Oryzias latipes: one gene and its partners. The protein of the gene in region 1 interacts with the protein of each later gene in a biochemical or structural test. Links are inferred from orthologs where the notes say so. Each region holds a gene or a part of one and is shown on either strand. Other genes may lie near its edges.

Region 1 (2,957 bases):
ACCAAAGGTTACTATAGTAACACATGGCACCATCATGGCATTCTGCAGTTCTTGAAAGGTAACCCTGCTTAAACCAGCACATGGAAATAATTTCAAATCCATCGCCCAGGCAACAAGACAGTGGATACGTAAAAAGCATCTCAAGGTTCTGGGACAGTCTGGACCTCAATCCAATAAAGAATAAGTGGAGGGAGTTAAAGGTCTTAGATTTCAAGCAACAGTTCCTGAGAAGATCTGATGGACTAAAATATAATCTTTGAAAATCAAAACAATGTGATTTCCTGGATTTTTTTTTACATTCTTTCTCTGCCAAATGAAGTGTTTCTAGGATGAACATTACAGACAAGAATCAGCTTTTTATGCTTCAAAATTTGTGACTGACAAATACTTTTTTGCCTCCCTGTTTGGGTAGTTTAAAAAAAAGTTTGATATTTGATAAAACTCCCAAAGGAGCAAAGTCCTTAAACAAAACTGAGAACCAAAATGCCTCACATTATCAGTCAAAGAGGAGCCAAAAGATTATTGCAGCCGAAGGGAGCTTGAAAGAGTCAGAGGCTAAATGTCCTTGGCTAAAGCTTCAATGAAAGTGAGGCTTTGCTCAGCGGCAAGCCCACAACAGAATGTAAGACATTTCATTGGTTCAGGTAAAGTCCAAAGTTTAACTTAAGCAGATGCAAAAGAGATGTCCTTTTGTTCCTTTAAGAATATTCCCATGCCAGAACCCCAAGGGAAGGTGTTTTAAAAACTGTGGAGGGGGGGATTTGCTAAAAGTATAATAAATACATACATTTGCCATCCATTGTTCAGATTTGTTTTTCATTTTTGCTCAGTCTGGGGGTAATGAATTACTTGTGAAATTAAATGTTTGGTACGTCAACATTTTATTGACCTTATTTTCAGGACCTGACAAAGAAAAATCTAGATACCAAAAAAACTTAAAAAACAAAAAGAAACAAGTGTTAAGTGTCAAACATTTATTTATGCTCTCCCCCTTCTCCCATGCAGACATCTGTACTACTGCAAAGACATCGTTCTGCGGAGGAACACGTCGGGTAGCCTGGGCTTCAGCATTGTGGGGGGTCAGGAAGAAATGAACTGCAATCAATCCTTTTTTATCCGTTCCATTGTTGAAGGAACACCTGCTTACAACGACGGGCGAATAAGGTATTGAGGTGACCCCCATCCAAAAATGTTTTTGGCATGAGTGAAACGTTTAGGGTTTCACTCTGCCTTGTTTTTCTGCAGATGCGGGGACATCCTACTGGAGGTGAATGGGAAGAGCACCTGGGGCCTGACCCACACAGCCTTGGTTCGCCTCCTGAAGGAGCTTCGGGGCAGGATCACTCTGACCATTGTCTCCTGGCCGGGCAGCCTGCTGTAACGGCACCCCAGCCTCCCTGCACTGCTTCTGTGATAATGACCAAGGGATGTGGAGGCAGAGCTTGCATCGGCAGACTGTCCTTAGACTTCTTGGAGAGAGAAAAAGGACAGAGGAAGGCAGACACTGATTTCTCTTCAGGGATTTGACCAGAATCTGGGAGGGTGATCAAAACAAAACTGAACTGTGAGCAAAAGTTTAAGTTGCCCCTCCAGGAATGCTGAAATGGGAGGATCCAAGCCTGCCACTTTTCTGAATGGGATGTTGCGAGATGTTATTTACTTACAGAACATTGTCATTGTCTGGAATAACATCCAGTGAGTGGGCTGGGAGGAGAAGAGGAGACAACTTGTTGCCAACTCCAATAGATATATTAGGATATGTGTTAAGTTGGACTCACATTTCTTTATGTACTGTAAAAATGCTGGTTGTTGAAAACAGTAACAGTCCAATCACTTGTAATATGTTTTTTTTGGTTTATTGTATGGCCTTCAAACGTAGGCTTTATTCTGTTTGTACTGACAGTGGTTCTCATCTGTTAAACTAAAGACTCGTTGCCAAGTACTAGTCTGTGAGGTTTTTCTGTTTTCTCAGAAGCTATTCTTAATAAAGAAAACAATTGGCAAAGCAGGTCTATGACAACATAAAAGGATCAATGTGTTCTTAACATGTTGAAGTGACATTTAATTAGGTGACATTGTGGAGGCCTTACAAAGTTTCTTACTTTTAAGAAAGAAAAAGCTATAACTGTTCCTGTGCATCACTGGATGGTCTATCTCCTGTGGTTCTGTTTGTCACGCTTCGGCCTGTGTAGTTTATCTGATGGTACATGACCATAAAAGACTAATAAAGCTGTTCCAAAACCTGTTGTGTGGTTTAAACTTTTCACTTGTATCTTCACAAGTACAACACAAGTACAAAAGACATGAAGCAAAGCAACAAAATCTTTCTGCAAAACTCATGAGGTTTTCCTCTAAAATCAACTTTAGTCTTCAAAAATGTTCAAAAGATCAAATAATTGTTTGCATTGTAAAATGACATCAAAGTCATTCTTTCCTGTTAAATCAGGAACATTTCATTGTTCTTCCTGGTCAGCACAGTCTGTTGTGGAGCTGTTTTTTTACGTCTTGTTTTTTCTTCTTTTTGCATCTTTTACCATGGTCCTATCTTCAAATTTCCTGCTGCAGCTTCCCTGAGTGCTGCTGATGAGATAAATAGAAAAAAAGACCAATTGATTAATAGTTCTACTGTGTGTCTTTTAGAGTGTGTGTTTAGATGGACCTGTGTGAAACTCTGTCAGGCTTCCAGCTTCTGTCTTTCCTTCTGTTTTCTCCCATGATGTCTTTGAAGCTGCAGCATCTGTGGCTCTCATCCTTGGAGCTCCTGGCCTTTGTTTGCTCCTTCACTCTGTAGAGGACATTTTTCTTGTGGACTAATGTATGTACGTATATGGTCAATTTTCTAATGCAACAAGTGAAAAGTTTCAATTCACAAAAACAAACCTGCAGCTCTCCAGTGTCAAGCAGTGAGGACTAAGGGGAGTAAAAACTGTAGCCTTATTCAATTCAATTCAATGTTT
Region 2 (4,619 bases), on another chromosome or scaffold:
TGAACAGCATTTTTACTTCCATTCAGGGAAAGGATCCCTTTTCTCAGTGAAAATGTGGACATTAAAGCTTTATTACTGAACAAAAATATGGGTTTTAATCCAACAACAGCCACAAATACTTCCTGTGGGGGGTCATATTTTAAGCCAGACAGTATTTATTTGAGCAAAACTTATATTTGAAAAATGAAGCTCCTCTCCCTGCGAATGCTCAGGAGCTTGTTGCTGATGTTGCTCATGTTGACCACAGGGGGGCAAAATACTTCAACATTTCACCAGGAATGCAGCCCCAGGACCTGCCAGGCCTGTTATGTGCATAAAAAGATAGAAGAGATGATTAAGAGGGTTGGCTTTCAAAGGCGTAGAGACAGTGTTAGAGGTCAGCAGTCAGAGACACAAGACAGAAGAGAAACCATCATCATAACCGGCTTTGCCGGCTGAAGCTCTGTGTGTTTGCCTTCTGATAGGAGAAAATATGCTGCTCTGCAGCTTTGTACCCATTGGAGCTATGTCAGGAATGCTGATAAACTTCTGGCCAGCTAAAGAGGCCAGTGTGTCGCTATGGGGGTAGAGGGGCGTAGGCCTGCGTGGGGCGGCTGAAGATGGTCAAATGATCAACATGATGATGGTTCAGACACGAGCTGTGCAGGAACTGTGGGAAGTTCTGCTCAAAGAAATAAATCATCGAATCAGTCAGACGCTGAAATAACGGCAGAGTGGAACATGTGTCAAATAGCTGTGCTTTCATAGTTTATGCAAAGCAAATGATTACCTTTATTTGGTCAGAGAGGGTGAAACAGGATGACACATTGTGCATTTTCCCGTTCATTGATCAAACTGGCAGAATCAAGAGTGGTGCCTTTATAGTGTTTTGTTAAACCTGAAAACCCATAAATGTTTATTTTTAATGGTTATATTTTGCATTGTTTTCACAAAAAATAGACATGATAATCAATCAGAGACAAACGAGAAAAGTAATTAATTTATAGAAGAAAATAAATACAAAAGAAACAAAAAATTTGCTAATTAAAATGAGAAAAACATTAAATCGTCTTTAGCTTTTTATGTTTTCTTTAATTTAATTAGATAAAATAAATGAATTTAAATGTTTTAACGTTCTTTTGTACTTTTTACATTTTTTATTTTGATTTTGCTAAACAGCTTACTAAAAAGTATTAATTTATTGCACAGATTAAAATTGTTCCTTCCTTTTTTAAATTAAAAGTTAAAATGTTTTAAAAATAATTTATTTACTCTAAAATCATCCTTATCTTTTTTTTGTCTTTGTGCTAAATTTCTTATTTGTCGGCAACCCCTCAGAATTTGGCCCAGTGGCCATCGATCACCGTGGACCCGCACGCGCCGGCCTATGAGCGCGCGCGGAGGCGGTCCGTTGCCAAGGGCGAGGTTTGGTTGAATCCTCGCGCTGCAGCCATTCAGCGGCGGCGGTTGGCCCGGAGGGTCTCGGTGACGGTTATTGTGGAATTTGAATTATCCGGAACGGGACGGCTCGACGGTCACAGTCGGGGCTTTAACGGGGCCACGTCTGGATCACGGAGGTGATCACAGGTGAGCGGGAAAGAAGGGTTAGCAAAAGGGGCTAAAGTAGCACTAGCCCGGCTGATGCAGTGGTGTTAGCCCGGTTCTGTGGCTCTTAGCTCGGTCTGTAATCTCTCTAATGACGCGGTGAGCGAGCAGGAGTGTTCAAACCGTCTCCGGTCTAATCTGTTACCGGGAAGAACCGAAGAAAACGGAGCCCTTTCGACGTTTTTCCTCGTCCTCTGATCACCTGGTTAACTTCCAGGTACCTGGTTTAACTTTCAGAGGTAAACGGGTGAGGTCAGAGCGCACGCGAACTGTCACGACACGTTGTTACACACGGCCCACTCGTGTAATATCACTGTCACAAGTGCGCACGCGGGTGTGGAAGTGCGAAGAAGTTCGGATGTTGGCTGTGTCACGGCTCACGTCGAAGCCTCCGCGAGCTCCGAGCTCGCGCTCTCCGAGAACGAGCCGTGACTCATCGTCCGAACGCGCAGCTTTTTTTTCCAGGTGTGATAATGGGGCCCGAGATGAGGTAATGGTATCTCCGTGAGACCGTCCGGCTGCCGGGAGTACCCCCCCCCCCCCCACTGCATCCACATCGGTACTCAGATTACTTTCCACAGGAAAAGAGGCGCGTGATTGACGGCGCGAGCCTCATGACGGACATTGGGAAGCGGGAGTCTGTCGTCGTCCCGCGAGGTCACAACTTTGTTTATGTGACGGGGGGGTCACGGTAAACAGTGATCGGGGGGGGGGGGGGGGTATGCGGAAACACTGCTGCTTTGTTTGGGATTTAAGGGGAAAGTTAAGGAGAATTGTTAACGTTACCGGGAAGAAGGTAAAGTCTAGAGTTTACAGTTCTAATATTTGACCGCATCATGCTGCTTATTTATGGCACAGTCTGTCACGTGCCGAAGTTCATGCTTTTATTATATGATCATTTATTAATTTACTTAGCATCTGGTGTTTAAATCTTGCTTTTCACGAAATAATAATTTTAATACACTTCATTTTCACACTTTTAAACTGCTAGAACAGCCATAAAGTTCCCTTATTTGTTTAGCAAAATTCAGAAATTTGCCTACTTATTTTTTTATTGCTTCTTGATTAGTAAGAAAATGTCAGTTTTATATGTTTCTCCATAAATAGGATTTTGTAAAATGCCATGAAGGATCTCATTCATCCAGCTGATGTCTTAAAGTTCAGCTGGGACGTTTGGTTCGGATGACTCAACTCTTTTTTCTTAAACTTTTTATTTGTTGTCTGACTTTAGATTAAATAAATTGATGAAAAATATCAAATAGAATTGTAACAAATCCGAATTTCCTCTAATGGAATACTTTGGACGGTAAATTGATTTTTGCAGGACAGGATCTCCTTAGAAATTCAAAAGTACTGTAGTTATTTGGATTTCCAAATGTAAAAGGCTTCGTTTGTAAAGGGTTTGTTTCTTCGGGTGCTTGGAGCTGCCCTATTTTAGGTGTATGTTTGGGTTTGAACTGGTCTTTAGAAGAAATGACAGATGCAGACAGAAAGTGCTGCTGTGTGTTGTAAAACAGAAGACATTTTATTGCAGATGATGATGATAACTGAGAGACCAAAATGATCCACATTTTCTAAGCTCACATCCTGCTGCTCATAATGAGCATGAAGGAAATTGAATGAGTTGTTGTTTTCTTTGTCTGATAAAATGACCCTACAACAACAGGAGGCACATCATTACTAAACATTTACAAGCATTAATGCCGAGTCGCTGGCCTGAGTGAATCTCATCAGAGTGAAATCTGCTGCATTTCAAAATGTCAAAGCTTTATTTAAAAACACAAGGTCACAGTGAGGAGGTCCTCTGAAGAGGCAGGTTCACATTCGGAATCAATTCAGCTCCAGTGTTTCTAATAGGCTGAAAAATGGGGGCGGGGCTTCTCTTTCCACAAGGTTGTTAAAGTAACCCATGGTCATCCCCAAGAATTAGGGGAGGGGCATTGGCAGTTTCTCACTGAAGCGCCCCCCCTGTGAATATGTCAGCAGCAGGAGGAGAAGCCCAGAAGGCCCAGTCCTCCTCTGTGGGGTGCGGTTTAGTGGGAGACATGATGTTCTCATGTAGGCACAGAGACAAATGGGATGAGGGATGGTGGGGCCAGAGGGATGGACTGTCCCCGTTTCTCCAGCATCCTCTGAGTTAGCGCCAGAGGTGGAGGTGAAGCTCTTTGATCTCTTCTCCACAACCTTTTCTCTACACATGCTTCAAGTTGCGGTTCATGGGTTCCAAAACCCCTTATCACCTTTGCATGGGGGGGTCATTTTTGTCCAATTTTTCTTGTGATGGAGGACATGTATAGAAGAAGTTAAGATTACAAGATTGGATTTCTGAATATTTCTTTATTCAAATCGTCATGGATCAGGAGCAGATAAAAACCTGCTGTTTTTTTTCAAACAGCAGGTTTTTATCTGCTGTTTGCAGCCTACCACAGCAGCAGCTGTGGTAGGCGGGGCCAAAGTCTCCCAGCTCCGCCCCCTTCTGATTCATCCACCTGCAGACAAATACATCCATGAACCTCTTTGGCTACGTTCACACCGCAGGCTGAAACGACCCAATTCTGATTTTTTTGCCCCTATGCGACCTGTATCTGATCTTTTCATGACAGTCTGAACGACACAGATCCGATCTATTCAAATGTGACCCAGGCCACTTGGGTATGTGGTTCTGAATCTGATACGTATCCGATCTTTTGAAATGCGACCTCTGTCTGACCGGCCAGGCCACATGAATCCGACCCGTACGTCATCGATACGCTACAAACGTCATCATTCTGCATTGAAGTAGGCGGGAACGGGAACATAAACATCAACCATGGCGGACGATGCTGCTGAGACCAGTCAGTGGAAGGAAGTGAGGTCACCGATTGATTCATATTTGGGGTGACAGCTCTATGCAGGCCAGACTCCAGGGCTCTTATCACAACCGGGCGGTTTTTGTAAACATTTCCATTGAAATGGCCGAACGTGGTGTTGAACTTTTCCGCGATTACTTTTTTTTCCCCTCGCGATATGCGATGTAAGGGATCAATATTGTGATG
Region 3 (3,985 bases), about 160 kb from region 1:
AATTCTATTCTACCATTTGTGACAGTCTGGTTAGTTTCGTATTATAGTTACAATTTCTAATCAAACCAGGAGAAGTGTTGGAATATTCTACACTTCAGAGGGGTTTGTGCATCATTTCTTAATGAGGTGAGGGTTTCTGTGGGAGGAGGAGGTGCAGGATGCAGGAGTATGCATCCTCACCAGACATGTCTGAGCAGATCCCCACAAAGGATGAGGTGAAAACACCTGGACTCAAAACAAAGCAAGGCAGACAGACAGACAGACCGACAGACAGGCAGGCAGGCAGGCAGACAGGCAGGCAGGCAGGCAGGCAGACAGGCAGGCAGGCAGGCAGACAGGCAGAAAGACCGACGGGCAGGCAGGCAGACAGACAGACAGGCAGGCAGGCAGGCAGACAGACAGGCAGGCAGAAAGACCGACGGGCAGGCAGGCAGGCAGAAAGACCGACAGGCAGGCAGGCAGACAGACAGGCAGAAAGACCGACGGGCAGGCAGGCAGACAGACAGGCAGGCAGGCAGGCAGACAGGCAGGCAGGCAGGCAGGCAGACAGGCAGGCAGGCAGGCAGGCAGGCAGAAAGACCGACAGGCAGGCAGGCAGGCAGGCAGAAAGACCGACAGGCAGGCAGGCAGACAGACAGGCAGAAAGACCGACGGGCAGGCAGGCAGACAGACAGGCAGGCAGGCAGGCAGACAGGCAGGCAGGCAGACAGACAGACCGACAGACAGGCAGGCAGGCAGGCAGACAGGCAGGCAGGCAGGCAGGCAGACAGGCAGGCAGGCAGGCAGGCAGGCAGAAAGACCGACAGGCAGGCAGGCAGACAGACAGGCAGAAAGACCGACGGGCAGGCAGGCAGACAGACAGGCAGGCAGGCAGGCAGACAGGCAGGCAGGCAGACAGACAGACCGACAGACAGGCAGGCAGGCAGGCAGACAGGCAGGCAGGCAGGCAGGCAGGCAGAAAGACCGACAGGCAGGCAGGCAGACAGACAGGCAGAAAGACCGACGGGCAGGCAGGCAGGCAGGCAGACAGGCAGGCAGGCAGACAGACAGACAGAACCTCCGGGCAGGTTCTCCTCCCATATGTCGCTTCATTTACTTCACAGCATAACTGCTGCGTCCACGTGTGGGCGGGGGAGGGGGGAGGCGACGGGGATCCCACCATCCAATCAGCTGTGAGTAGCGCGCGAGCGCCTTAAAAGCTGCGCGCGCGCGGCGTCTGGAGCTCAGTCTGTGCCAGTGGAGACTGCGTGGAGACTGTTTGTAGCAGAACTTTGCCGGATCTTTTGTTCTCTCAGGAGGAGAACCATGAGGCTGATCCAGAACATGACGACCATCACGGAGTTCTGCGCTCCGGAGAACCAGCCGCTCAGCCGGGTCATTAAGATCGCTGTCGTAGGGGGAAGCGGAGTGGGGAAGACGGGTAAGAATGCAAACCGGTCTGTCCAAAGGTGGGCTTCAGGCGCAGCCATGAATAACCACTGCGGTGTTTCTGCAGCGCTGGTGGTGAGGTTCCTGACCAGGCGCTTCATTGGAGACTACGAGAGAAATGCTGGTGAGTTTCGGAAGAAAAGAAGCTTCATGGTGAAATTTGGCTTGTAATTTCTGAGGTTTTCCTTTTGCGCACGCAGGTAATCTGTACTCCAGAGAAGTTCAGGTGGACGGAGAACAAGTCACCATTCAGGTTCAGGACACGCCTGGGGGAGAGGTGGGTGCTGCTTCTCAGAAGAAAACATTTGTGGGTTAGGCTGGCTGACTGGATGCCCCCTCATCCTCTTTAAATGGAACCTTCCAACCTCCTGTAATTGAAGATGTCATTTTCCCTGAAGGATTGCCTTCATTCCACCCATCTTTAATAAGCTCTCATTTGGGGTAATGGCTGTCTGGGACAGCATAGGAGGATAGCTGGTTCAGTAATCCCATTTGTCTGCCCCACACAGCATTCCAGACCGTACTAAAGTTCAGGTGTAGAAAGCCTGCTCTGAATGGACCCTCCTTGTGTAAAACCATTGACATAATTCTTTCTTTGCTCCTTAGATGACTAATAACGGCGTCAAGCTGCCTGACCATGTGACCTGCTCCATCCAGTGGGCGGATGCTGTGGTGCTGGTTTACTCTGTGACAGACCGCCGCAGTTTTGATCTGATCAGTCAGCTGCACCAGCTGGTTGTCCGGGCAGGAGGCGCCATTGTGCCCCCTGTGATCCTGCTGGCCAACAAAGCTGACCTGTTGCACCTGAGGAGAGTGGACTCCCAGCAGGGCCCCCTCCTGGCTGGAGCCCTGGGATGCTCCTTCTATGAAGTGTCCGCCAGCGAGGACTACAACCAAGTGCACGGAGCGTTCCACAGGCTCTGCTGCCAGCTGGCCAAGCAGCCCCCCGCCCCATCCAGCTCGCCACACACTGGCGCCAGCGCTGCCCCAGAGAAGAGACGCTCACCACTCATCCCCCGGCCCAAATCCCCCAATATGCAGGACCTGAAGAGGCGCTTCAAGCAGGCGCTGTCGGCTAAAGTCAGGACTGTCACCTCGGTGTGAAGGGAGCTGAGAGGTGATCTGGACCGGTCAGAGTTAAGATTCATGCTTCTCCACTGAAGCGGAGAGGGCAGACGAGGCATGAACAGTCAGCAGGAAGGAGACGCGGCTTGTCGGGGAGGAGCCCACCGTGTCAGATGGAAGACATCCTGGGGGGAGGTTCAACATCAGCTGAGGAGGAGAGGAGCAGCTGAAGGTGTGGAACCCAGGTCTGACTGAGCTTCGTTACAAACTGTCCCTGAGGCTCTCCTGGCATGGGGATGCAGTGTGTTGGCATGGGGGTGTCTGTGGCAGCTCTTCAGACTGCCTGGAGTCGTACCAGCATCTTCACCCAGAGCTGTGATGTCAGCATCTCATGTGTAAATATGGTGTTTGTATTTTGCAGCTCCACCATGGGAGAAGAGATGTAGCATATGTTGGTCACGACCACTATTGCACTTTATACAAATGTAAATGTCCAGAGGGCCTAGTCTTATTTATTTGGTTACAATTTTGTGCATAATAAATGTTTCAAAACAAATTATTGTTTGTTGCTCAGATGCATGAGGCTGATGAAAAGACTAAGGTTGCGTCAGAATTCCTTCCCTAATCACTATATAGAGCGTTCACCATTTTCTGGTGCTGTCCGAATCAACAATTCCAAATTCCACTACCATTTCCCAGAAGTCTTTGCGAAAAACTAGTGTGCATCAATATTATATGCTCACAAAATTGTCAAACATAGACCACAATGCACTGTGTCTGAACCATTATTGCCCCAAAATTTATTTACATTCATTTTTTTTAAAATATCAACTTTTTTAATTTTTTTTTAACTTGTCCTGTCCAACAGCTGGGCAGACAGACGAGAGCTGAGGGCCTCTTGTGTTGGACATATTTTGCTTTAACAAGAGGGGTTATTAATCTTCTGACAAACCAAAGGTATGTCTGAATAAACCCCTTTTGTAATTGAGGCCAAACTTTATTAATTTCAATCATGTCTGAAAATCTTTGGTGTTGGACCGGACGGAAAAGGAAAGAGGGGAAGAAAAGAGAGGGTCGCTAGAGAGAGGGGGGGTAGGGGGTGATAATAGGAGGGGAAGGGGGATAAGAAGACCATGAAGCAGCATACAGCAACAAGTTTACTGGTTGTTAATCATTATGGTAAGGTTCAAATGTAGTACAAAAAGGGCGGGGCCTGTCCACACACACACTCAAATGTTATAAACACACCTGCTAGCTGCAAAAATGTCCACCTGTCGACATGTACACAAAACAGATAGTGTTCACACGCATACTTATGCCTTAAAACCAACTAGTGTGAAATATTTCAGTCATTCAGTCATGCAAACTGTTAGTGCAAAGGTGAGCTAACACCAGTGCTCAGGTGAGTGTTTATGTTCTTCTAAAATGGATGGTGGAACGTGAAAAGAAGGAGGGAGAGTGCCCAGCCATCCCCACCCCAAGACCCCCACCG

What was found.
Region 2: of the proteins of lnx1 (region 1) and numb, one has a biochemical effect on the other in vitro, tested with the Homo sapiens proteins (2 studies listed by BioGRID, with this or other methods). The link is inferred for Oryzias latipes from reciprocal best matches to the Homo sapiens genes LNX1 and NUMB.
Region 3: the proteins of lnx1 (region 1) and rasl11b form a complex in vitro, tested with the Homo sapiens proteins (2 studies listed by BioGRID and IntAct, with this or other methods). The link is inferred for Oryzias latipes from reciprocal best matches to the Homo sapiens genes LNX1 and RASL11B.

What each region holds. Positions count from the first base shown.
Region 1 is NC_019862.2:756,768-759,724, forward strand, and holds the end of lnx1 (E3 ubiquitin-protein ligase LNX), read left to right. Parts: intron 1-1,005; coding exon 1,006-1,164; intron 1,165-1,245; coding exon 1,246-1,381; 3' UTR 1,382-2,243; downstream 2,244-2,957. Other genes in the region: fip1l1 (pre-mRNA 3'-end-processing factor FIP1), read right to left, coding at 2,499-2,580, 2,660-2,785.
Region 2 is NC_019880.2:1,035,470-1,040,088, forward strand, and holds the start of numb (protein numb homolog), read left to right. Parts: upstream 1-1,383; 5' UTR 1,384-1,566; intron 1,567-1,951; exon of another isoform or gene 1,952-2,074; intron 2,075-4,619. UniProt on the Homo sapiens protein: Regulates clathrin-mediated receptor endocytosis. Plays a role in the process of neurogenesis.
Region 3 is NC_019862.2:917,625-921,609, reverse strand, and holds rasl11b (ras-like protein family member 11B), read left to right. Parts: upstream 1-1,187; 5' UTR 1,188-1,305; coding exon 1,306-1,420; intron 1,421-1,495; coding exon 1,496-1,552; intron 1,553-1,628; coding exon 1,629-1,705; intron 1,706-2,034; coding exon 2,035-2,532; 3' UTR 2,533-3,049; downstream 3,050-3,985.